Oreochromis niloticus: one gene and its partners. The protein of the gene in region 1 purifies or fractionates together with the protein of each later gene. This does not show direct contact. Links are inferred from orthologs where the notes say so. Each region holds a gene or a part of one and is shown on either strand. Other genes may lie near its edges. The genes, in order: hdr, ripk1l and cflara.

Region 1 (7,829 bases):
GATTAAGTGAGGCATGATGAAACATCCTCTCATGCAAACTGTGTAAAATGTGGCGGAACACCCATAAATACACTTTCAAAAAAGGCAGCATTGTATACTGTCTGTGACATGCATCATTACAACAACGAAACAGATAAGTAAGTTCAAATGTCTCTAAGTGAATCAGTAAGACTAACAAAACATTCATAAGAGCATTGATTGCTTCTCCTGCTCCTGGCTGTGAGGCAATTGGCCCACTGAATTGTGCAATCCTGCTCTAACTGCTAACATTAGCAATGTGGCCAGCTAGGTTATTGTCATTTATGTCAATAGACAAACCCACTTGTGAGCTCAGCAGATGAATGGGCCCGGTGTCCCAGGCGGCCATCAGCATAGCTTATTATGAGATACTCCCTGTGGAAATATAGCACATCTTAGGTTTGAGGCCATGTTAACCCTGCCTCAAAACCCTAACTCTAAACTTTGTTTTTTAATTTCTTTATTGGAAAAAATGGAAACAGTTTTGATGTATCTCATTTAGAATGATCAATTTCTTTGTCACCTGATTGCCAAGACCGTGAAGCACAGTCTTAAAAAACAAATAAATATTCCGATATCATGGGTTATGATTAGCATCAGGATCATCAGCGATGACTTGGACCTCACAGGGATTCCCTTTTGTGTATGCTTTTTAAAAACGCTATAACTGTATACTAGTTCAAGATTGCAACCTATTTAGCCTATAGTGTCTACCACGAAACATCCGGAGGCTTTTAGATTATTATGAATGTTAACCTCTTAATTTAGGATTTGATTTGGGGTTAGGTTGGATTTTAGTCACATGTTAAACATGGATAGTTTCTGAAACTATCCAATCAAGTCTCTTACTTGCAACACCATGAATATGTTCCAGCAATGGTATCCCTGAAGGTGTTTGTTTGTTTAGATTGAAACAGCATATGTGTATTACCCCACATTAATACAGCACACGTGCATGTGATGCAGTCAATAGAGAGGAACTAGTGTGCTGACAGAATGTTCCAGATGGAGACCTTGAGCCATGCGGGAACAAAGCCATGAATAGACTTCCCCTAGTAACTGGCTGAATCATAGTGCAAACTCAATGAAATACGCTTTTAGGCCATCTACACCCCCGGCTCTGACCAAAGTCCATCTGGAAGTAAGTCTTGCCACCAAGTACAAATTTAGGCAGTCATTTTGACGTATTATCTAAAGTCAAATAAGAACTGCATGTATGGAATTACCAGTCAAATCTAATGAGAACAGTTGCTCATTTAGAGGGTCGCCACAGTGGATCATCTGCCTCCATCACACTCTGTCCCTCTGATACACTCATTTCTAATCTTGTCCATTCTAATCACTTCCAGTGAAAACCTTAAGATGTTCAACTTTTCCACCTCCAGCTTCACCTCCTGTCTTTTTGTCAGTGTAACCATATGCAAACCATACACCATAGCATGTCTCAATGCGATCTACCTTTCTTTCCATTCTTGCTGCTATCCTTCCGTCACAAATCATCCCTGACACTCGTCTCCACCCACTCCACCCTCTTGTGCACTGTCTGTTGCTTTGGACGGTTGACCCCAGGTATTAAAACTCGTCTACCTTCACTATCTTTACTCCTGCTCCTTCACCTGTCTTTCTCTCACTCACACACGTATTCTGTCTTGCTTCTGTTGAATTTCATTAATCTTCGCTCCAGTGCATACCTCCACCTGTCCAGATTCTCTTTCACCTGCTCCCTGCTCTCACTACAGATCACAATGTCAGCTGCATTGTAGTCCACGGAGACTCGTGTCTGATCTCATCTGTCAATCTGTCCATCTCTACTGTGAACAAGAAGGGGCACAGAGTCAGTTCTGATGTAACTTTGATTTCCCCTCAGTGTCTCCCTTTATTAGATAATGTCACTGGTCAACCTTCTGCTGCTGCCCTTCACATCTGACCCAGTCTGGGTACTCTACAATCACACTAGAGTGGATATTGTTAGTGCTCTCGTGAAGCTCATGGCCCTCTGAATCTGGCCACCTTTCCACTGTTGTTCCTATACTCACACTATGGCCATGGCCATTTAGATCTATATGAACACCTTTACCTCCCTTCCATTGTGGCGAAAATAAAGAGCAGTGCTTTCCCATCCTTCCTAACCACCACTTTGGTGCCCCCGAGTTAGACCCTTAACTCTGAGCTGCTCCAGTGGAGCTGCTCAGAGCCGATAGATCTATTGTACTGGACAGCATGTAACTGTGCAAGCATCGACGGGGCATAACTGAGAGGGAAGACTTGCTTTCCTCTGAACTTCCATCGTAGAATAAATTTGTGAACTAAACATCCACACAAGCTCCTAGGGAATAGAAACAAATTAAAGTGCAACATTTTTCAGGAATATATGTATCCATTATCTGTATCCATCATTTGCATAAAAGATCATCCTTTATTCAACCCATTTCTTGTCAGTCTTTAAACCTAATGTTGGAATTTTAACATTTAACAACTTCTAGTTGCACTTCTTTTGCTTATTCACCAGTGTGCAGGTTCACTCTGTCTTTGGATAAGCTTTGTCTAATTCCTCTATGAAAAAGCAAGTTCATGTAGGTCTTCAGTTCACTCTCTCCTCTTGCACTGTGTGTCAGAAAGATCCCCTAACCTCCCTCTCAGTATACACATAGGCTCTGTAACAGAAGAAAAGTATATATATATTTTTCCATATCATTAGAATTGATCTCGACCTCGGCCCAGCCGATGAGCAGAACCCTGTACGGTCTGTCTGAATGCAAAATTCATGTCTTATCTCGGAAAACGTGGCTCAGAGATTCCAGCCACCTCCCGGGCCTTATCATCAAAAAACACAAGTTTGCAGCAGCGTGTGAGGGGAAACGGTGCAGAAATTCAGAAATGGAGCAGACTCTGAATGATTGGGCAAATAAAATAGGTAAAAAAGATGTCGATGAGCTGCAACGCGCAGGAAACTTGTAGAGTGACTGGTCTCTATTTCTCAGTGTGCCTGGCAGCCTGTGAAGCCATCAGTCACCCAATCTCTGAGCCTGGAAACAGGCTGCCTAAAACTGTGAGACCATTTCAGCACCATCTCAGAGCATCGCAATCAACAGACTGAAACGGAGGTTTTATTCCTCTCCACATCCACAGCCCACTGCTTCCTGTCGGCCTGCATATCTGCGCGCTGCAGACAACTGCTCATTAGATAATGCTAAACTGGCACTCCCAAGCATGAGGTTTGCTAAACACTGTGGTGATGGCTGACTTCATGCAGTTTGTGATGAAAGCCTTTGTACAATAGTCTGTTTTCCCCCATTATCCCGTGAGGGGCTAACAGCCGAGAGAGGAACCTCTTGGAACTGTTATTCACTTTGCAATACAGCAGCAATTTGAATGTTTGAATGCTGAGCTCATTCAGAGTGAAAGCGATCATACACAAGGTCAGATCCAACATTTTATGTTTAAAATAGGCAAAAGCTCAGTTTGGTATAGGAGAAGCAAATGTTTAGACTTTCACGCACTCAGATCCTTCAGATAAAAACATTGCATTCCACTGTAGGCCTAAACATATTCTTACATTTTACATTCTACAAACTGTTCATCACCTATACCTTTAATATTACTGTAAAAAAAAAATACATGTTGTTTTCAGGATTCAGGCAGCTCATTTTATCTCATTTCTCTGTAGCTTTGGCACCACGTATGTTGCTACTGTGATAAGCTGTAGCCACAAACTACACCTGTGTTTCCTCATGTGAATCATGTGCAGTATTTGTGAGTTTAGTCATGATTTACTCTGCATGAAACTGTTTTTGTTTGTTTGTTTCCTCACCTCAACTTTAAAACTGTTTTCAGCACAAATGCTCACACCCAGAGATGGAAAGCTATGTTTGCTTAACCCCTGAGCAAAAGCACAGCATTTTTGAAGTTGTACTGATAATAATTTGCCATTGCGTGTTATTTTATACTACTGCATTCAAAGAAAATATTCCCAAAATATATAGTTAACAGAAGCTGAGATTAAAAGCATTCTTTAATAAAATAATTTCACCATATATTAAATTAGTATTCTCAGTAATCAGTCATAAGGCCTCTTACATGAAAGCAGTGTCTGCTTGCAACCACGGTACATTTTAATAATTTCATTTAAATGAATTTATACCTGAAAAAGAAGAAAAAGAAGACCGAGAAAAGAGGAGGGGGCAGGGTTAATAGCCCAAATATGCGAAATTGTAATAACCGTAATAGCTTGAGGAAAAAGTCCAGTGTTAATTCTTGGTTTTTTGTTTTTTTTTGTTTTTCTATCCCGGGGGCTTAATGAGACTGAATTGTGTTTTTTAAATTTAAATAGGCGCCTTATCGGTTTGTGAAGCACTCTGGTCAATATTTGTTCTGAGCCGCCGACGGGGAGACGTTTGTCCGCGGGGCATTTTAACGCCAACCTTTAATCCCAGCCTTACTCTAAACCTAAACAGCCAGCTGCTCTTCCAGAAACTTAGCACTGAGATGGCACAGGTGACGTCAGCTGGGGGTCAGTACAAAATCTTCTATATCATCTACAATGCTCGCTAATAATTATTGATAATTATTGATAACGTTGCAGTTGAAGATGATTTGAATTATACTAATAAAAAAAATACACATTTATTATAATTACTTCTTGTGTGGCCGCTTGGAGTTGCATCAGTGGGGCTGTTTTTTTTCGCCTCCTGTTTGAGAGCTGAAGACGTCTGGGGCTGCTTTGTACTTTGGCCCCGCCTATCAGCTACGTCATTTATTCAGAGTCGGCTCACACCTGAGTTAAACTTTTGAGAGAGTAGCCTACAGGACGCTACGGTGGTAAATCTAAATCGATTTGCTCTGAGTTACAGTGGAATAATTGAAAGTCTGTGGAAGCCGACATTTTTAGTAGAAGATGAAGTACATTCTTATGTTTGTGGTAAGTCCTGTTGTCTTTATAAACATCTACAAAGCTTGCTGTGGTTTCACGGGCCGGTGTTGTACCGGCGTCAGTCAGTCAGCGGGAAGATTCTGTAAACAGCTTCCTTGTGACTCATTTTTAAAAATGGAGAGCCCTCAAAGTAATAAAAGAGTGTTTTTAATGTTTCGCGACAACCGCGGGGGATTCTAATATTTATGTTAAGCTATTAACTTAATGAAAAGTTAATTATGTAAACTTTAAAGTTTTGTTGTTGTTGTTTTGATTTGTTTATTGAGAATCGAAGTGACCAGAATTGTCACGGGTTGTCGAAACAAAGTTTAGCCTCCCGTTGACTGTAAATTAAATAGAAAAGACCTCTGGCAATTTTCCGGTTAACTGGTTTGCGCAAGATGTCGCATTTATGTGTCAAAAGTCTCACCCGGCGCTGTGTGAACAGGTGTGAAATTCCTCGTGGGCTCACCAAAAAGTCACGTCATTTCTGTTTTCTCCACCTGAGACACTGCAGTGAAACTAGTCGATTGTTTGAGGCTTTTTTTTTTTCTAGCTTTTGGCTTGATTTTGAGCTGCCTAAAAGATTTATTTTGATTAAATATCCTCTAATATGTTTATGTGCATAAAGCGATGGAAATGATGGTTTGCATTACGTCAGAGATGACTTCCATCGACTTAAAGTGCTACTTTATAGAGTGGGTCGCCGAGTAGAAGCACGTATTGGAAATATAAACTTTTTTTTGTTTTTTAATTAAACTCTTCTGTATGTCTTTGTGTATAAACAAGGTCGCTTTAGGTTTTTTCTTTCTTTTTTCTTCTTTTCCAAAGTACTGTTAAATATGCTTAAGCACGCCATTTCTACTTTCCAGTGAAGGCAGGGGGATTAAAATTCTTATAACAGGCACTTTCACACACAGGTGAGTGTTTGTCTTTCTCTCCATGCCTGCTGGGAGATGCCCTCACTTGTGATCTCTCAGTAACTAGGGCACCTGATGGTGTTACGAAATCATGGGTGTGATTTCCTTATTTGGTTATTCCTGCAACCTATCAAGGTGTTGGCCATATTAGGACACACTGTTTGTGGATCACGTTTCCCCTGTTGCTCAATATTAAGAAGTTCATAAATCAGCTCGGATACTTTGGTACACTTTCTTAATACTGAATCCAACAGGCTTAGTCCAAGGAGTGTTGGAAGGAAATCCCCCTTCTCCCCCACCCACCTGCGCAGCACTGACTTGTTTATTTGCTTTCAGAGTGAAGTGGCGTGTTCTGAAATGTGGTCTAATCTGACTCACATCATCATACAAGGAAGCTTCCACAGAATAATGACTTATATACTTTTTCTTTATGTTAGCAGTGAAAATGTTTTCAGTTAACCAAAACATATAATCAGAGATTATGTTTCTGTAAAACTCATAAAATGAGTTCTTTAAGAGATTTCAAATTGAGTACATTAAGTTGAAACATGGAAAAAGATGAAAGCTGTGTACTTGATATTTTTAATTAAGAAGGTAGTTTCATGACTATAACAAAGCAGGTTTTTGCTCATAAGTCACCATGTTTTATCCCAGTTTCCCATTCTTGTCAGATCGTAACTAGTTTTGGTACCTTAATGTAACCAAAGATCACCCCACCTGCCTACTTAGGGACTCTTTTAAAAAAACTGTTTATTCACCACTCTGACTTCCATTTATTTTTTATTATTATTTTTAAACCCCGCATCCAAATCCAAAGGTTTTTGTGCCTGTCCTGGTCCTTCTCCTCAAATCCACCACAGCATACCCACAGGCTGGTCTTAAGGTGGGAAGCAGCAGAGCACGGCGGCAGGCCAACTGCCCAGCAAATCAGTACCGAAACGGCAACCTCTGTTGTTTGAATTGTAAAGCTGGTAAGTCTTGTGAAACTGAACTTCTGTAATAATTTCAAACCAGTAAGCCATCAAAAGCCACATGAAACGGCCTTATTATTTAGCTAGAGTCACATGTTCAGTTGAAGGAGATGTATAAAGTGTGTATGTGTGCGTGTGCTCTAGGTACATATGTGAAGTCACCCTGCACTGTAGATGGAGAGAGGGGGCAGTGTGAGGAGTGTGATTACGATACATACATCAAGCATGACAACGAACTAAGGTTCTGCTTGAAGTGCACACGGTGTCGTCCAGGTAATTCTGCTTGGCGGCTTTACACCATCGATCAGAATGAAAAGGTTCACTATTGATTGTTCTTGTAGTCGGCGTGCTCCGAGCATAAACTCTGACTTAAGGTCTCTTTCATGTTACTCTCTCAGATGAGGAAATTGTAAGCTCATGCACTCACACTGAAGATACTAAATGTCAGTGCAAACCAGGGAGATTTTGTGATCCTAACCAAGCATGTGAGGTGTGCTTGAAGTGTTCAAGGTAAGTGTCTGCAAGCCATTCAAAATCAGTAAAGACACAATAAGCATAAGGAGGGAGTGGATGGTGGATATACTGGGTGTTGAATGTGGAGCTGCCAGAGTAAGAGGGTTGGTGTGACAGAAGATGATGCTAGATGCAGATTGTCCACTGTGCTGACTCCTAAAGGGAGCAGCGGGAAGAAGACTGACATTTAGGTCTTTAAACCTTTCAATCCATTTTGCTTCTCTCCTAACTAGGTGTGCAGAGGATGAAGAGAAAGTGAGAAACTGCACATCAACCACAAACACAGAGTGCAAGAAGATCCAGAACAAATCTGGCTCTGATCCAGGTACCCTACTCTGTGGCAGATGCATGCAAGACTTTTGTTACACTGGGATAAATGTATATTTACAAAGTCAGATTTTCCAGGCCAAAAACAAATGATATCAGAGATTCAATCGCACTGTACATTGATTCAAATCATGAATCTCTTTTTTTCTGTAAATGGCCAGTGACTGTCCC
Region 2 (7,418 bases), on another chromosome or scaffold:
TCTTGGAGAAAATGAACCTCAGACGCCCACACAAAGAAGCCTCAAATGGATGTAGTACTCTCTCACTCTGCCTCAGCTTTTCATTGTTCTGTGCCGCGCTGCTGTGCTGCACAATTTGGTACTTACAGGTTTTGTGTGGGAAGGTCAGCTGCTGAAATGCAGAGATAGGTCATCTCCTGGTGGACAGAGTATACTAGTCAAATGTCACGTTCTCCTAAATATTTAACACAGATCAGCTAACAGAATGAAGAATATAATAAATGTCACCATCACACCAACACACTCAGTGATTCACGATGTGTGTTGCTTATGGTGAGGGCAGGCTGTGTAACTAAAGCTGATTAGCCACTATACTAAAAACGCCAGCCTAATTGTTCTGTTGTCCCATTAAATTAGCTCTGAGCTGTCAGGTCATGGACGGGGGACCTCTTTGGTGTCCTGCGGCAACCTCAGGCTATCAGGTTTCTTCCAACTTATCCCGATCTTGGAAGTTTAGAAACCAGGACAAGACCGACCGCGGGCTCTCTGTTGCATTTCTCTCTTTGTAAATGGTTTGTGCTCTCTATCCCTGCTGTTCAGGAGGTACCATTGGCAGGGTGGGGGGTGTCTCTACATGTTAAAGCGTCAAAATTAATAATCCAGAAAAAAATAATAATGAAGAGAGACTGCATAGTCCGAGCTGGTTGAGACAAGAACAACCGCCTACTCTGAAACCCACGCAGGCACACAACTCAGCACACTGATAAACCAACTGCTGTTGACTGGCATTTTACATGATACTCTAAAGAATCACATGAGTAAAAAAAAGTCCCCTGTGTATGTTTTACTCGCACGGAAACGAGAGCTGTTTGCTCAAGGAAAAGAGCCACTGATACACAGTGCTTCCTGAACAACCTGACAGACCGGGTCGACTGTGGAGGGTGTCTGACTGCTCTCAGCCAATCAATCTGCTCCGCTTGTTTGCTTGATGACTCTACTTAAAAATTTATTAGAAATTCAATATGTGTACCTCTATGATTCACCTGGGTGCTGAGACATTATAAGACAAAGAGAGCTTCTCACCTGGAGGATAGGAGCTGCACTGTCATGAATGGACAGGATGTGTGTAATGTTGTTTCTGGCTAACTGTTCTCTGTCCCTTGCATCTGACAGAAACACATAACAGCACAGTCGAACAGCGTTATTATATCTGCACACATATAAGAAGTCAATCAATACTAATAATAATAACAATAACAATAATAATAATAATAATAAAGAGAAAATGAGACACACCTTTGAAATTTCCCAGGTATAAATCAGGAAGGACCTATAAGGAAAAAGAATACTGATTGCTATATCAAAAGTAATCATTGATACTGAGGTGGTGCAAACTGATTAAAGACCAATCAGCTATAAAGATAAATGAAACCCTGGCAATATGAAGGTATAATTACAAACGGTGTCCTTTGACGATCTGAATAGATACATATTCAGCCACTAAATGATAATAACTAAAAAAATAATAATAACTATGCCAAAATAATTCAAGTTTGATCACTGAACTAGGCAATGATTAAGTATTCTAACAGCTATACTACATTTCCTAATACTGCAAAGTTAACGAGCAACCAAACTTTTTATTCTATGAAATATCCTAAAATGATAAACACATTTCCTTAAAACACTGAGGACCACTCACACAACAACTCCAACCTGAGGAGCACGGAAGAGAGGATAATCGTACCTTATTGATGCCATTACCCATGCTGAAAGACCCGCCTCACTGGAGAAGAGTTGAAAGAAATGCCCCACGCCGCAGCCTCGGTGCTGGAAAACGCGTATCCGGCGTCTCGATGCCTTCCCAAACCGGCTGAAGGGGAGCAAACGCAGTTGGTCTGCGTGCGAGCGAGCCGAGCACTGCTGCCCGAGGTTCCCGAGGTGGATGCTGGGAGCTGTAGTTTCCTAACGCAAAGGGCGTTGCAGACCTGTAGTAGATGTGTGTGGAGGAGTTAAACAGCCCCACATAAAAAATATAATTAAAGAGATCAACGAAAGGCTCAGTAATTTAATCAATATCGATCATGTTGCATGAAAAAAATGACATTAAAAAGTAATTTGGTTTTGTCTCTCTTGTTAATAATAAAGGCAGTCACAAAATGTATACATATATATATATATATATATATATATATATATATATACACACACAACAATAACAACACAGCCTTTTTGATGCTTTGCAGCCAGGACAAACAGGAAACAAGGCTATGAGTCAAGTACAGAATGGATCTTCTCACCTTCAACCAAAACCTCACAAAATACCTGACTTTATTTCCTTTGATGTCATAATAATAACACAGTGCAATAACACTGAAGATAGCTGTTTCTAAAAAAGCAAAACACAAAGTATTCACAGGTTTGTTTGTTCTGTTCCATACAGACGACCCAGTCTGGATGCCATCACCACCACCAGCAAAATGATGGCACCTGTGGAAAGGCTTTTCAAGCAGGAGAAAACAGGAAACAGATCTGCAAGCTGAATGTGTCTTATCACCCTCAACCAAGAGAACCTTGACTTTATTCCTTTTATCTAACAGGTTGAAATAACTAAAATAGATTGAAAACACAGCAAAAACCACTGTTTGCAACAAAGTGAGTTATAAAATATTTACTGATTTATTTATGTACTGTTTCCCCTCCTACAGACCAGCCAGTGTGGATGCCCTCTCCACCAACAACACAACTTTTATTGTGACACCTCTGGAAAGGCTCTTTCCAGAGGCTTATCCAAATGATTTTCCAAACAACATATGAAGGCACGTTTTGTTAGAAAAAACAACAACTTTAATCTATGCTGCAGACATAATCAACTAGATGCATTCTGGCAGTTAACCAGTCTGAACAGAAATAGAGTGTGACTGCTAAAGGAGGCACTGAGAAACCAACGACAAGTACGGGACTCTACAGTGCTGCTATTACAGAGAAATGATGGCATATGTCAGATCTCTACTGATAATTACTGTGATAAAGACATCAACAGGAAGTGCTGCTACCCACTGCCCAACATTGACAGCACATTTACACCGCAGACACCAGTTCACTTAACTTCCTGGTAATGCGTTGTTTTGCTATGTGGGGCAGCTTGTGACCGCCAGCCTCTACTCTACAGCTTGAATGGGAGGAAAGCATCTGCGACAGAGATGTGATGCACTTACTACACAGAGTAATGCAAGCTGGTTATCAGTCCACCCATCCGGTTTATGCATGAGGGTATGTATACTTTTCCCCTAGTTTTATTGCTTTTAAGAGCTCTGCACACTGGTGAATGTACTCTAATAGTAATCAATCAATCTAAAATGTTACTTGGATTCACAAGAAAACTGGGCAAGAGACAACATTAGATATTTGTATCACTTCTTGTAGTTTTGCCATAAAGTAACTTGAGTTTATACAGATAGTCAACACACTAATGGACCTAGACCCATTTGTAAACTGCCAAAACTGAATGAGGACGCTGCCCCGATACTGTGCCACTAAACAAGGTCATCTATGTGAATCTCCAAGCAGTCATAAGTAGGTGGAATTTAAGCTTGAATTCAGTAATTTCACTCACCAGTTTGGTTTTTGTCTTTTAATTGTTGGTAAGAGCACTCCATTTCTCATCAACTGCTATATAACCTGAAGGTTACCACCAATAAATGTAATTAACAGAAAAAAAGTAGAAGAAAAAAACTTGCAAGCCAATAAAATGGAGACAATATGAGCCAGGTAAATATGATACTGCTTTGATGTGGCTTTGGTGTGCAAAAGGAGGAATTTATAGTGTGGGCGTTCACAGATAGGCTGCCCAAAATGTAGGCCTACTTGTAGTACATCGCCCACATTGTCAGTGGCTACAATTCAGGTGGTTTCCCGCTCTAGTTTCGCATAAATGTTCAATTTATCAATGAACTTGGGTTTTTTTTCAGTCAGTGCGTCATTTTAATTACTCCATCATATTAACTTGTTTTTTGGATTTTTTTGTTATTACTTTAAAAAACAGAAGCAAACAAACAAAAGAAAACGTCAAAGTCCTCATCTTAACTTAGCTTAGCTTACATCTTAATTTTTTAATTCGATGAGAACGTTTTTTCCCCTCTTATGACAGCTGCCGTTTAGATCCAGCTAGAACGATTCAACTGTGTCACCATCATGAAATATGAACAGGCCTCCCCTGCTAACAGTTTCACCACTAGGTGGCGCCAACGTCATACTCAATGATTTACAGCCATTGGCAGAAATTGCAGAATGTTGCTCAAAAAACAAAACAAAAAAACAATGTGAACACAACAGATAAGACAAGTAAACGCACAAAGATTTATAAGTTTTTTATCCCGTATTTCTGCTTTGTGTTAAAGGCATCTCCGACAGTACATACCTGAATCTACTAGCAGCCCTGGATTGTTTCTGTCATCGATTTATAAGCCTGTTTGTAGTTTTTTTTTTTTTTATCTTGCGCGTTTCACTTTTGAAGTAGGTCGTCGAGGAAATCCCGGAAATAGAAATAAACTGCTTTACTTGGACTTTTCCAGCACATTTTCGGTAACTGTTTTGTTTGATACTGGAAGTGAATGGGGGTGTTCCCCCTACACTTTTGTTTCCCGAGTAATTAATTTAGTTATGGAAGTGAAGTCAGTTAAAGATGCCGACACTTTGGGATAGCCTGTGCTGTTAGCTGACCTCTGTGACAGTGTTGTGATTGTTACGGATGGTTGATTAGCCGATTCAGTCATTAACCTGTGTCCTGTGCGCTTTGTTACGGCTTTGTTTGAGCTGTAGGTTTTTTGGTTTTTCCGATGTGACACTGTGAATTCTTCCCAGGGATGGCCACCGCGCCTGAGTACTCACTTCACATGAGGTCGACGGATCTCATTATAAAAGAACCCCTGGATTACGGAGGTTTTGGAGAAGTTTACTTATGTTATCATGTGACGCTGGGACAGGTGGTGTTAAAGACTATGTACACTGGACGTCTGCGCAACGAGTAAGTTGTTGTTGTTGTAGTTGTTGTAATGTGTTACTGCATGTGCTACCCAAGGGTATTCCCCTTCGTCCAATGATAACTTGAATCATGTGTCCCGCGAAGTTTTCCACGCAACCAAGCGAGACACTTTTAGAGCGTGCAGAAAGTATAATAACACAAATGAATACACACGGATGTAAATGAATGTACTCGTTATTACGGTTGTCTATACCAAGGTAGTGTGCTGTGAAAAGGGACACTACCTTGGTATTAAGTCCAACCACTTCCTTTTTGCACAAGGAAATAGAGACAGGTTGATTCAGCTCAATGCCGATGAAGTCCAGCATCCGTTTTTTATATCCGCATATATGAATTAATTATTCTATTAATTATTGACTATTTAGTTGTTTAAAAGTTGTGAAGAATATCTGTTCACTTTTTATTTTTTGAGACAACATTTCAAATGTAGTGCGTTGTCCCCTTAACAGTCTGAATATAAATAAATGCAAAATGTATTTATAATTGTATTTATGTATTTATAAATACAAAATATTAACAGTGATTATAAAAAAATGTTGCTGATACTTTTACTTTGTTTGACCTCTCAGCTTATTGTTTGTATCTCAGATGCACTGTGAGGCACATGCCAATCCAAAGTCTTGCCTCAGTACTTTCAATCAGCTCCACCAAATACCCAATTTTTTTTTTTTACACATTTTTTAAAAATGTTGTCTTTATCTTAATCCTTATCAGTATAAAATGATATATTGATTTTTGTAGCACTAGAAACAGAATCACTGCTCTGGCTTGTCTGTATGATTATAAATGGTAACAGAAAGACAGAATTAAAGACTATATTTCTTACTTATCTGTTACTGCACGCCCACACATGCATAAATATCAGAATTGGGTTATTGAAGTCGGTAAGAATATGCTCACATTGTCCCTTTTACTATGCAAAAGCTTTCTCTTATTACATTTAACAAACTTTCCAGGGAGAGTAAAAAATCACTACTGGAGGAGGGAAAGATCATGGCGAGCCTGAACCACGAGCGAGTGGTCAAGTTGCTGGGTGTGATTATGGAGGATCGAGATTGCTCTCTTGTCATGGAACTCATCCCCAGAGGCAACCTACTGGACATGCTGGAGACCGTTAGTAGGCTTAAATCAATAAATACCTGTAATAAACACAGCTTTTGTGGTTTTCATCTATAGCGTGTAACCTTAAAGAGTTCCACTTTTGTCAGTTTATCATGAACTGAAGCATTATTACACTATAATCTCTCTGTTCTTCAGGTCAGTGTGCCAGTATCTATCAAGGGAAGAATCATCTTAGAGATTTTGGAGGGAATGATGTACCTCACAGAAAAGAATGTCATACACAAGGACATCAAGCCGGAAAACATCTTAGTGGACAAGGATTTTCACATCAAGGTACATTACACTCTCTGGGTCATGACACATGTAGGATTCTGTCTGCTGGCATTCACAGTCATGGTGAAGGATTTCTTGTAGATTGCAGATCTTGGTCTGGCCACCTGCCAAACGTGGAGTAAACTCACCAAGGAGGAATCTCGAAGGAAGAGCCGTATGAGGCAATCGACTGGTGTGAGAGGAGCTGGCACACTGAGCTACATGGCCCCGGAGCACCTGGAGAGTATTCATAATCCCTCCACTGAGAAGTCTGACGTGTACAGTTTTGCCATCGTGGTGTGGGTCATTCTCACAGGGGAAGAGCCATATGCAAGTGAGCTGTGATGTCATGACATGCCAAAGTTTGCCAAAGATTACCAGATGCAGCATATCCTCTTACAGCATGTCATTGCAGCCATTTAAAAAAAGCATCTTTTTATGCCCAGATGCCAGGAGTGAAGACCAAATCAGCCAGTGTGTTCGTAACGGTGACCGACCGGCAGAGGATCTTATTCCAGAGGACACGCCTTCTGAAATAATTCAGCTCATGAAAAGATGCTGGGATCACAATCCTCAGGAACGACCGACTTTTAAAGGTTTCCTTTTTGTGTATTTTAAGCAAAATAGCACTCATTGATGGAACCACGTACACTCATCAGCCATTTCATTAGGTACATTTCCCAGAAATTTTGGTCCATATCAACACGATAGGATCACACAGTTGCTGCAGATCTGTCAGCAGCACATCCAAGATGCAAATCTCCTGTTCCACCACATCCAACAAATGCTCTGTCTGACAGATCTGGCAGTTTGAGTGCAGTGAACTCTGTCTGTGGTCTTATGCTGCTCTAACACATCTGCCACAAGACTCGACTTGTTGCGCATTCAGATGAGATGCTCTTCTGTAATGAGTGGTTATGTGAATTACTCTTGCTGTTGAGTAATTGTTGCCTTCCTGTCAGCTCAAAGCAGTCTGCCCATTGTCCTCTGAGGTCTAGTATCAATAGTATACAATACAATA
Region 3 (7,223 bases), on another chromosome or scaffold:
TGTGTAACATGCTGTAGAGGAAAAGAAAGAGGAGATATTTTTATGGCTTTAGTGGAGAAAACATTATGGGAAATGTGAACTAACATCTGTAAAGTGTCTCACTCACAGAAATTCTACGGGGTTGCTGCAGAGACAAATTTCGCTGCTGTTCAGGTGCCCTAGCTGTAAAAGACAGGCAAATATACATACATAATGTCTCTGTGTTTGCTGTTCTATTGTTGTCCTTGTTTAAAGAAAAAATATCCTATTACATTTGAAACATACCAACACATTAAATAAACAGCATTAAATTAGTACTGAAAATTGTATCTACCCTAAAGGGAAAGGTCTCAATGAATCCATGTGATGTCTTAAGTACGATTACCCTGAACTTCACTTTATAGTGGACTAAATAAGCAAGGCGGGCTCATGGTTGCAGGGGTTAAATAAAACTGAAATGCATTTTGATGTCATTTTTTTATGATCATAATCTTTTAACTTTTGCTTCAAAGTTGCTGAACATCATGACAGAGCACAGCCACAAAAAAAGTCCATCCATCCATTCATTTTCTTAGCTGTTTATCCAGTTTAGGGTCTCAGGTGCCAGTCCCAGGTGAACAAGGGCCAAAGGTAGGCTAAATTCAGGACAGGTTGTCACAAACTGAAAAATGTGTTTACCTTTAATACTGAGTTTTTGGTAAGGAAAATGTAATAAACTTCCAATTCTTTGCTTACTACACTCACCAGCCACATTATTAGGTACATCTTGCTAATACTGGGTAGAATGCCTTTTTGCCTTCAGAACTGCCTCCATTCTTCTCAACGGCATAAATTCAACAAGGTGCTGGAAACATTCCTCAGAGATTTTGGTCCATGTCAGCTTGATAGCGTCACGCATTTGCTGCTAAACATCAATGTGGAAAATCTCCCGTTCCACCACATCCCAGAGGTGCTCTATCAGATTGCGATCTGGTGACTGTGGGGGCCATTTGCAGTGAACTCATCGTCATGTTTCAAGAAACCAGGATGAGACGATGCGAGCTTTGTCATGTGGCGCGTTATCCTGTTGGAAGCAGCCATCAGAAGATGGGCACACTGAGATCATAAAGGGATGGACATGATCAGCAACAATACTCAGGTAGACTGTAGTGCTAAACAATACTAAGGGGGGCAATAAAATATCTCCCACACCATTACACCACCAACAACAACAGTGTGAATCATTAACGCAAAGCAGAATGGATCCAAATCTATGCTTTTTTCGTTGTTTAAGCCAAATTCTGACCCTACCATCTGAACCATCAGAAAGTGAAACTCGGCAGACCCAACCACATTTTTCTGATCGTCTGACGTCCAGTTTTGGTGAACCCATGGAAATCACCTGGTGTGGTCTGCTGCTGTTGCCCATCTCCTTCAAGCTTCAACGTGTTGCGCATTCAGAGATGCTCATCTGGGTACCTTGGTTGTAACGAGTAGTTATTTGGGTTACTGTTGCCTTCCTATCAGCTTGAAGCAGTCTGACCCTTATCCTCTGACCTCTGACATCAACATGGCATTTTCGCCCACTGGATAAGTTCTTGTTTTTGTACCATTTTCTGTAAACCCTAGAGATGGTGACGTGGGAAAATCCAAGTAGATCAGCAGTTTCTGAAATACTGAGATAGATATTTGCATTAATTGTGAGTGATTGTGAGTATCAATAGTTTCGGGTATGCTATACTGACGAGGAACATAAAACTTAAACCAGTTCTGTGTAACTAGTAGGGAAGTGTTTCCCACTTCTCACTGCAAAACTGTTACAAACCTTTCTCATGGAGATACTATTTTAAGCCCTTCAGTATATAAAGGGAAAAGGGAAACACAGAAACACAGTCTAACCTGAATTCTTGTAAGTGGTCAGTTTTTTGACTAGATCAATCCTGCCAATGTTTCTCAAGCACTCCTCTACGACGTCAAGTCTTTCTGGTGAGACTGAATCCAGCTTTTCAAGTTCAACAATAATATCCAGGAAACTCTGTAACACAAAGGGGGGGGGTCCCATCATTGACTGCAGCATGGTTTGTTACGGTAATAATAAATCCCCACCCACATACATTTCAGAATGAGTGAAAACAAAATCATGCCTCATTCATTCTGGGGTTTTTTGTGTGTTTTCTTACCTTTGTCTTCTCAAGCTTTTCACGAGATAATTTGCAAGTTAACAGGAATTTAATACTGTCCAAATCTCCGGTGTCCAGCTCCTCACTTAATTCTGCCATCAATACTCTGCATTAAGTGGAACAAACACTGTTAACTTCAATTCTTCAAATCTTTAGGATTAATCAGCTCATCTTAAAGGATGTCTTACCTGAAACTTGGGACCATTTGTCTGGTCCTCTCCAAGTCATCCCTGCTGACTTTACACACCTTCCTTAGGATATCCAAACGCCCCAAACAAAACATGAGCTGTGCCAGAAACAGGTGAGCGTTTTGATGGTGCGTCACTTTTGATCTGAGCATCTCCTTCATACAAGCCACACTGTGGTCCGTGTCCAAGCTTTCACATAGATAGAAGAGCCTACTGCGTTCATTGCTGCTGAGAGCTTCCGCGATTTCATTTATAGCATGTAGCTGAAATTGTTCCGGAACAGCCATGTGGAATTTGGTAAAACTTTAAGAGGTGATGAGTCCAGAATAAAGAATTGTAGTCAAAGCCTGTGGGTCACAATAATCGCCATGTTAAGATCCACAAAAAGTCGTGAAAATATAATAACCCATCACTAATAGACGAAATTATAGAGAGAACTTACCGAAAAGAGTCCTGCAACAAACACGTAGCAAAGCAGAAGAAGGGAAACTATAGAAGTGACGCACCACTTAAAAACCCGAGGGAGGGGATTTACCAAATACTTCCCAACGTAAAATGAAACCAGCGAGGATCCGCTTAACAAAGAAAACTTAACCGGATGAATACCATATAAGTTCTGTCCTTTTACAAAAACTGCGCAATGGCACAACCGAAAGGGAAAGCAAAGAAAAATGGCAGCCGATAGACCACACCCACAAATGAAGTCATGGCACAAGCACGAGCGGTGAAGAGCCTCACCTCCAGGACCTTCCAAGAAAATATACTGTCTGCAGATTTTTTTAAAAAGCACTGAAAAATATGGAATAATCAAGACACTAATATGGTTCATAAAGAACCCAGGTCATCAGTTACAAAATTAGATCTAAATGCGGTGAGGGTGTTTTCAGTTAAGGTTGACTTCTGCGAAAAGTTTACAGTCTAACTTATGACAATTGTCAGCTGCAACCTTCCACACGCCACTCAATCGTTGTCGGCTGCATCGACCCCAACGTAGGGTTACATGTCTTGGGAGGTGCACCTCATGTTAATTAGAAGGTTGCTGCGAAGGGTTAAAGGAAATTTCGAGGTTACGTTGTAAGTTATGATGCAGATTTCCTGCGGAAGTCTAAATCAGGCATAACTGTGGTGCTGAGGTCAGTTACATCTCTGTCTAATCCAAAAACAGACTCAAAACCTTGTTTTTTCTCACAGGCCTAAATTTAACTGTGTAAAATGTGTAAAATGTAACTGTGTTTAACTCTCTGTAAAGTGTTTTTTGCTTCTATGTTAAGCATTTTGATTTTTACATAGAATTAAATGTGCTATATAAATGAATTTGTCAATGCAATAGATTCTTTTTATTTTTGTTTTATTGTTTGTTTGTTTGTTTGTTTGTTTTTACCAGAGAGAAAATAATTTTCTCATACAAGTTGGAAAAAAGATAAATGTATCACTTAAGTGGATCATAATTTGCAATAACCTGACTTTTTCCCTCAGCAAAGAATCTTTTTGCCCATCATGTATAAAACCAGCTACAGTATATTTTCTTTTAAAAAGAGCGGGGCTTTGTAGTTTGAACACCTATGACTGCATTTTACACAACAAAGTGACATTAGTTCATTCTTTGGATTTTGTGTTTATCATGCTGTGTCATGCTGGGATAGTCGTGTGCTGAGAGATTTGAGCCTCACGTTAAACGCTGAACCACTAAAGATGATAATCCTGCTTCTCTGCCTGTAAGATCTCTCGAGGTTCAACCAGAAGCCTCACTAAACTCTGTGAAAATAAAGTCTTTAGAAACAGCTTCCTGTCCAACACCTTTCACCCACTGAGTGTTGCAGCAAGGGGTAGGTGGACCCTCTCCTCTTCGGTCATACTGTGGAACAAAACAGTCATGCTTGCCCTGTTGCACAGAAGCAAATCTATGTCAGAGGCAAATCTGCTGTAATAAGTCCCTTTATTATTCATACATCATCTGGTACAATTATGTTTAAATTGTAACAATTTAAACTTAATTTAATGTAATCTAAATGATTCTTTATTAAAAATTAAACAGCAAAGCTCTGAATATTTGTTTAAGTTATGTATTTGCTATGCTGGTTTTATTACATTTATCAAGCTGTTTTTGTTCTGATTTCACAATAGTCTTACCTTCTCTAGATATATGCTTTGTCATGCTGTATTGTTTTACTGAGCTGCATACCATTCAGCTATTTAAGATATCACATCTCATATGTTTGTTGGGTTTAAGTTTTAACTGCTGTAACAACGGGATAATAAAGTCTTATCTTAATCTTTTTATCTTTTCTTTCTTAAACAGATTCAGTGGCTTATAATGGGTTTCAGACTGTGGAGGGATAATCATACATATTTTTAAAATTATTTTAACAGCTATTTGTGGCAATATGAGCGTGTTAAACCATTGCAACTTTTCCAATGGACTTGAACGCACCACTGCTACTCCCCCTGCAGGCCGCCGGAGATTTATCAAAGCTCACTGAGTTCCGCTCAGCCTGGCCAATCGTGTCTCGCTGTGCCTCAGCACCATCATTGCAGTGTGGAGAGATCATACGGAGGTACTGCTGGCGGAGAGAGGGACCATTTGAAGAAGGGAAGATACACGACCCGGGTGACCGCTCTGACCAAACACCGTTCCCGGTTCCCCAAAACAGCCACTGTGTAGCATCACTATAACCAGCTTCAGTCTGAGTGAGTATTTAATTTACTATTACAAGAGGAAGGATTTTCCAGGTAGTCGCAGACCGGGGCTGCTGCTGCTGCTGCTGCTGCTGCTGAGTTGGAACATCACAGCACAGTTGTTGTGTTGATGTGGATGTAAACCCGCGGCAAGGAGGCTTCAACGTCTGCGGGGTGTCTTTTAGGAAAAGGACCACACAGCAGATTGCTCTGGGCTGGAGCCAGGCTGGCAGCAGTCAGCCGCCCCGGCCTGGTCACGACTGATGGAAAAACGAGGATGTCCAACAGCTGCTGACTGTAACAGGCGTGCTAACGGCATTCGAGCCGAGCTAAGGTAGCTAACGTTGGCGTACAGGTTCAGGCTTCGTGGCAGTGTCGGAGCAACCGTTTGCTAGCAGTTAACTACCTGGCTAACATAGCTGCGTGACCGTTAGGACTGCACGATGTCTTCAGTGTTTAAGGTTAAACAGTGATTGTGTTGTGACATTACACCACCAACTACATGTATCCACCGCAATTTATACAAACACGTAGCTGAATTTGACAATACGTTGCAGCACATTTTTAACAAACGGTTTTATTTTGAAATTGATGTAAAAAACAAAAAAACAAGCGGAAGTCCCAGGTTTAAAACTCTCGACTGCATTTATAACTTTTTTTTAGTCGGATTCATTGCTTCAGAGTAAATAACCCATGTGTAGAAACACACTAGAATGGCCAGTCTGTTTGTGTGTGTGTGTTTTAAGCCCTTATACCATAATAACTTTAAACTTGCAGCAGCTTCAAGGTGATTTCAGGTCCCGTCATAGATGCATTCCTATAGTTTTATGCTGGAATGGCTTAGGTATGAACAAATAACTTAAACAATGCTGTGCTAATTCACCTAATGCATGCCTCTGCTGCTCGATCAATTAATCAGTCAATAAGTTAATCAAACTTTATTGATATACCATCATTCGTGGAGGTTAGGGCTGTTCAAGCTGCTTAATAGATGACTGATAAGCTGATCATGAGGAACAATTACTGAAACTAAAGTAAGGCTGGATTAAAAAAAAAGAAAAGGAAAAACAAACAAACAAAAATAATACTTAATAAACTGTACTTGGACCGAGCTTTGTATCACTCCAGATAAGTAGTTTCTAAATTGGGTGCTGAGGTCTATTTGTTTGCTTTGAGCCAAGTGCCTTGGGATTGCGTGTCAACCAAGCAGTATTAGTGTAACTGCACTTACATTAAATAATAACATTTAAATATGCTTTATTAATACACATTAAATGACTATCATTGAGGTGTGTGTGTGTGGGGGGGGGGGGTCCTGATTGATAGTGGGATAACTAATGCAATCCACTTGAAAACCCATAAAACCTGCTTTAAAACACCACAGGTTATGAATTGGAGGTGGTGGAGGTTTTTCAAAGTGATCATCAAGCTAAGCCTGTTTGCATCTTTCTTTTTACATTCCTTCTTCCATACTGACATTTTGCTGTGGCTCAACACAGCAAACAATAAATTAAAAGGATACTGCTTGGAGTGATATTGGTCTAGGCTGATAAGCCACCATTACACTAATGGCATAATGAGCAAAGGTGTGGAGCTCAAGATCTAGATAATTCCAAGCCATCTGCTGCTCATCCTCAGCCTTCATCCTCCTCTCTCCTCCTCCTCCCTTGCTGTATTTCCACCACCATGTGTTTTGGGACTAGGCTATCATCAGAGCTGCGGCCTATTTTAGACAGAAACTCCAGTTACCCACTTAATCTGTGTCTCATTTCTCCAGGAGTTGGGTTTCATGTGCTGCTCAGTGAAGTAAATGGTAACCTTGTCGGTGACTTTGGATCATATTGTGAAGCTGGTGGATTTGCTCGATGAAGGATTGTGTGCTCATAAAACTATTGGCTGATGGTTTAAGGACTGTTATGACCTTTGTATTAATATAGTGTATGTGAGATTTGACAGCACAATGGTTCCACCTCTGCACCGAATGCGAGTAAACTGAGACATCTTTGAGCCAAAACAAGTTTTGCCATACCGGTATTGAGCCCAGTAGTGTGTTGCCTCCTTCCCACCCACCAACAGTGATGCACACGCTTAGGGGATCAAAGCTGTAATTAGCCTGCCATGGATTAGCAATGGGGACTATTTTCCATTGTACTCACCCACAGCGCCAGAGGATCACACAGGCAGGCAGCCCCCTGCCCTTCCTTTCCTTCCAGCAGAGAAG

What was found.
Region 2: the proteins of hdr (region 1) and ripk1l purify together in Homo sapiens (affinity purification with western blotting, with the first as the bait; 3 studies listed by BioGRID). This does not show direct contact. The link is inferred for Oreochromis niloticus from reciprocal best matches to the Homo sapiens genes TNFRSF10B and RIPK1.
Region 3: the proteins of hdr (region 1) and cflara purify together in Homo sapiens (affinity purification with western blotting, with the first as the bait; 5 studies listed by BioGRID). This does not show direct contact. The link is inferred for Oreochromis niloticus from reciprocal best matches to the Homo sapiens genes TNFRSF10B and CFLAR.

What each region holds. Positions count from the first base shown.
Region 1 is NC_031977.2:5,218,693-5,226,521, forward strand, and holds the start of hdr (tumor necrosis factor receptor superfamily member 10B), read left to right. Parts: upstream 1-4,767; 5' UTR 4,768-4,912; coding exon 4,913-4,936; intron 4,937-6,664; coding exon 6,665-6,818; intron 6,819-6,962; coding exon 6,963-7,091; intron 7,092-7,216; coding exon 7,217-7,328; intron 7,329-7,564; coding exon 7,565-7,656; intron 7,657-7,829. UniProt on the Homo sapiens protein: Receptor for the cytotoxic ligand TNFSF10/TRAIL. The adapter molecule FADD recruits caspase-8 to the activated receptor.
Region 2 is NC_031982.2:17,766,247-17,773,664, reverse strand, and holds the start of ripk1l (receptor-interacting serine/threonine-protein kinase 1), read left to right. Parts: upstream 1-4,405; 5' UTR 4,406-4,563; intron 4,564-4,842; 5' UTR 4,843-4,844; coding exon 4,845-5,005; intron 5,006-5,979; coding exon 5,980-6,136; intron 6,137-6,280; coding exon 6,281-6,418; intron 6,419-6,499; coding exon 6,500-6,731; intron 6,732-6,843; coding exon 6,844-6,993; intron 6,994-7,418. Other genes in the region: dusp22b (dual specificity protein phosphatase 22-B), read right to left, coding at 127-176, 1,063-1,145, 1,276-1,309, 1,727-1,747. UniProt on the Homo sapiens protein: Serine-threonine kinase which is a key regulator of TNF-mediated apoptosis, necroptosis and inflammatory pathways.
Region 3 is NC_031987.2:13,980,040-13,987,262, forward strand, and holds the start of cflara (CASP8 and FADD-like apoptosis regulator a), read right to left. Parts: upstream 3,009-7,223; 5' UTR 2,769-3,008; intron 2,674-2,768; 5' UTR 2,614-2,673; coding exon 2,327-2,613; intron 2,245-2,326; coding exon 2,139-2,244; intron 1,994-2,138; coding exon 1,858-1,993; intron 163-1,857; coding exon 107-162; intron 12-106; coding exon 1-11. UniProt on the Homo sapiens protein: Apoptosis regulator protein which may function as a crucial link between cell survival and cell death pathways in mammalian cells. Acts as an inhibitor of TNFRSF6 mediated apoptosis.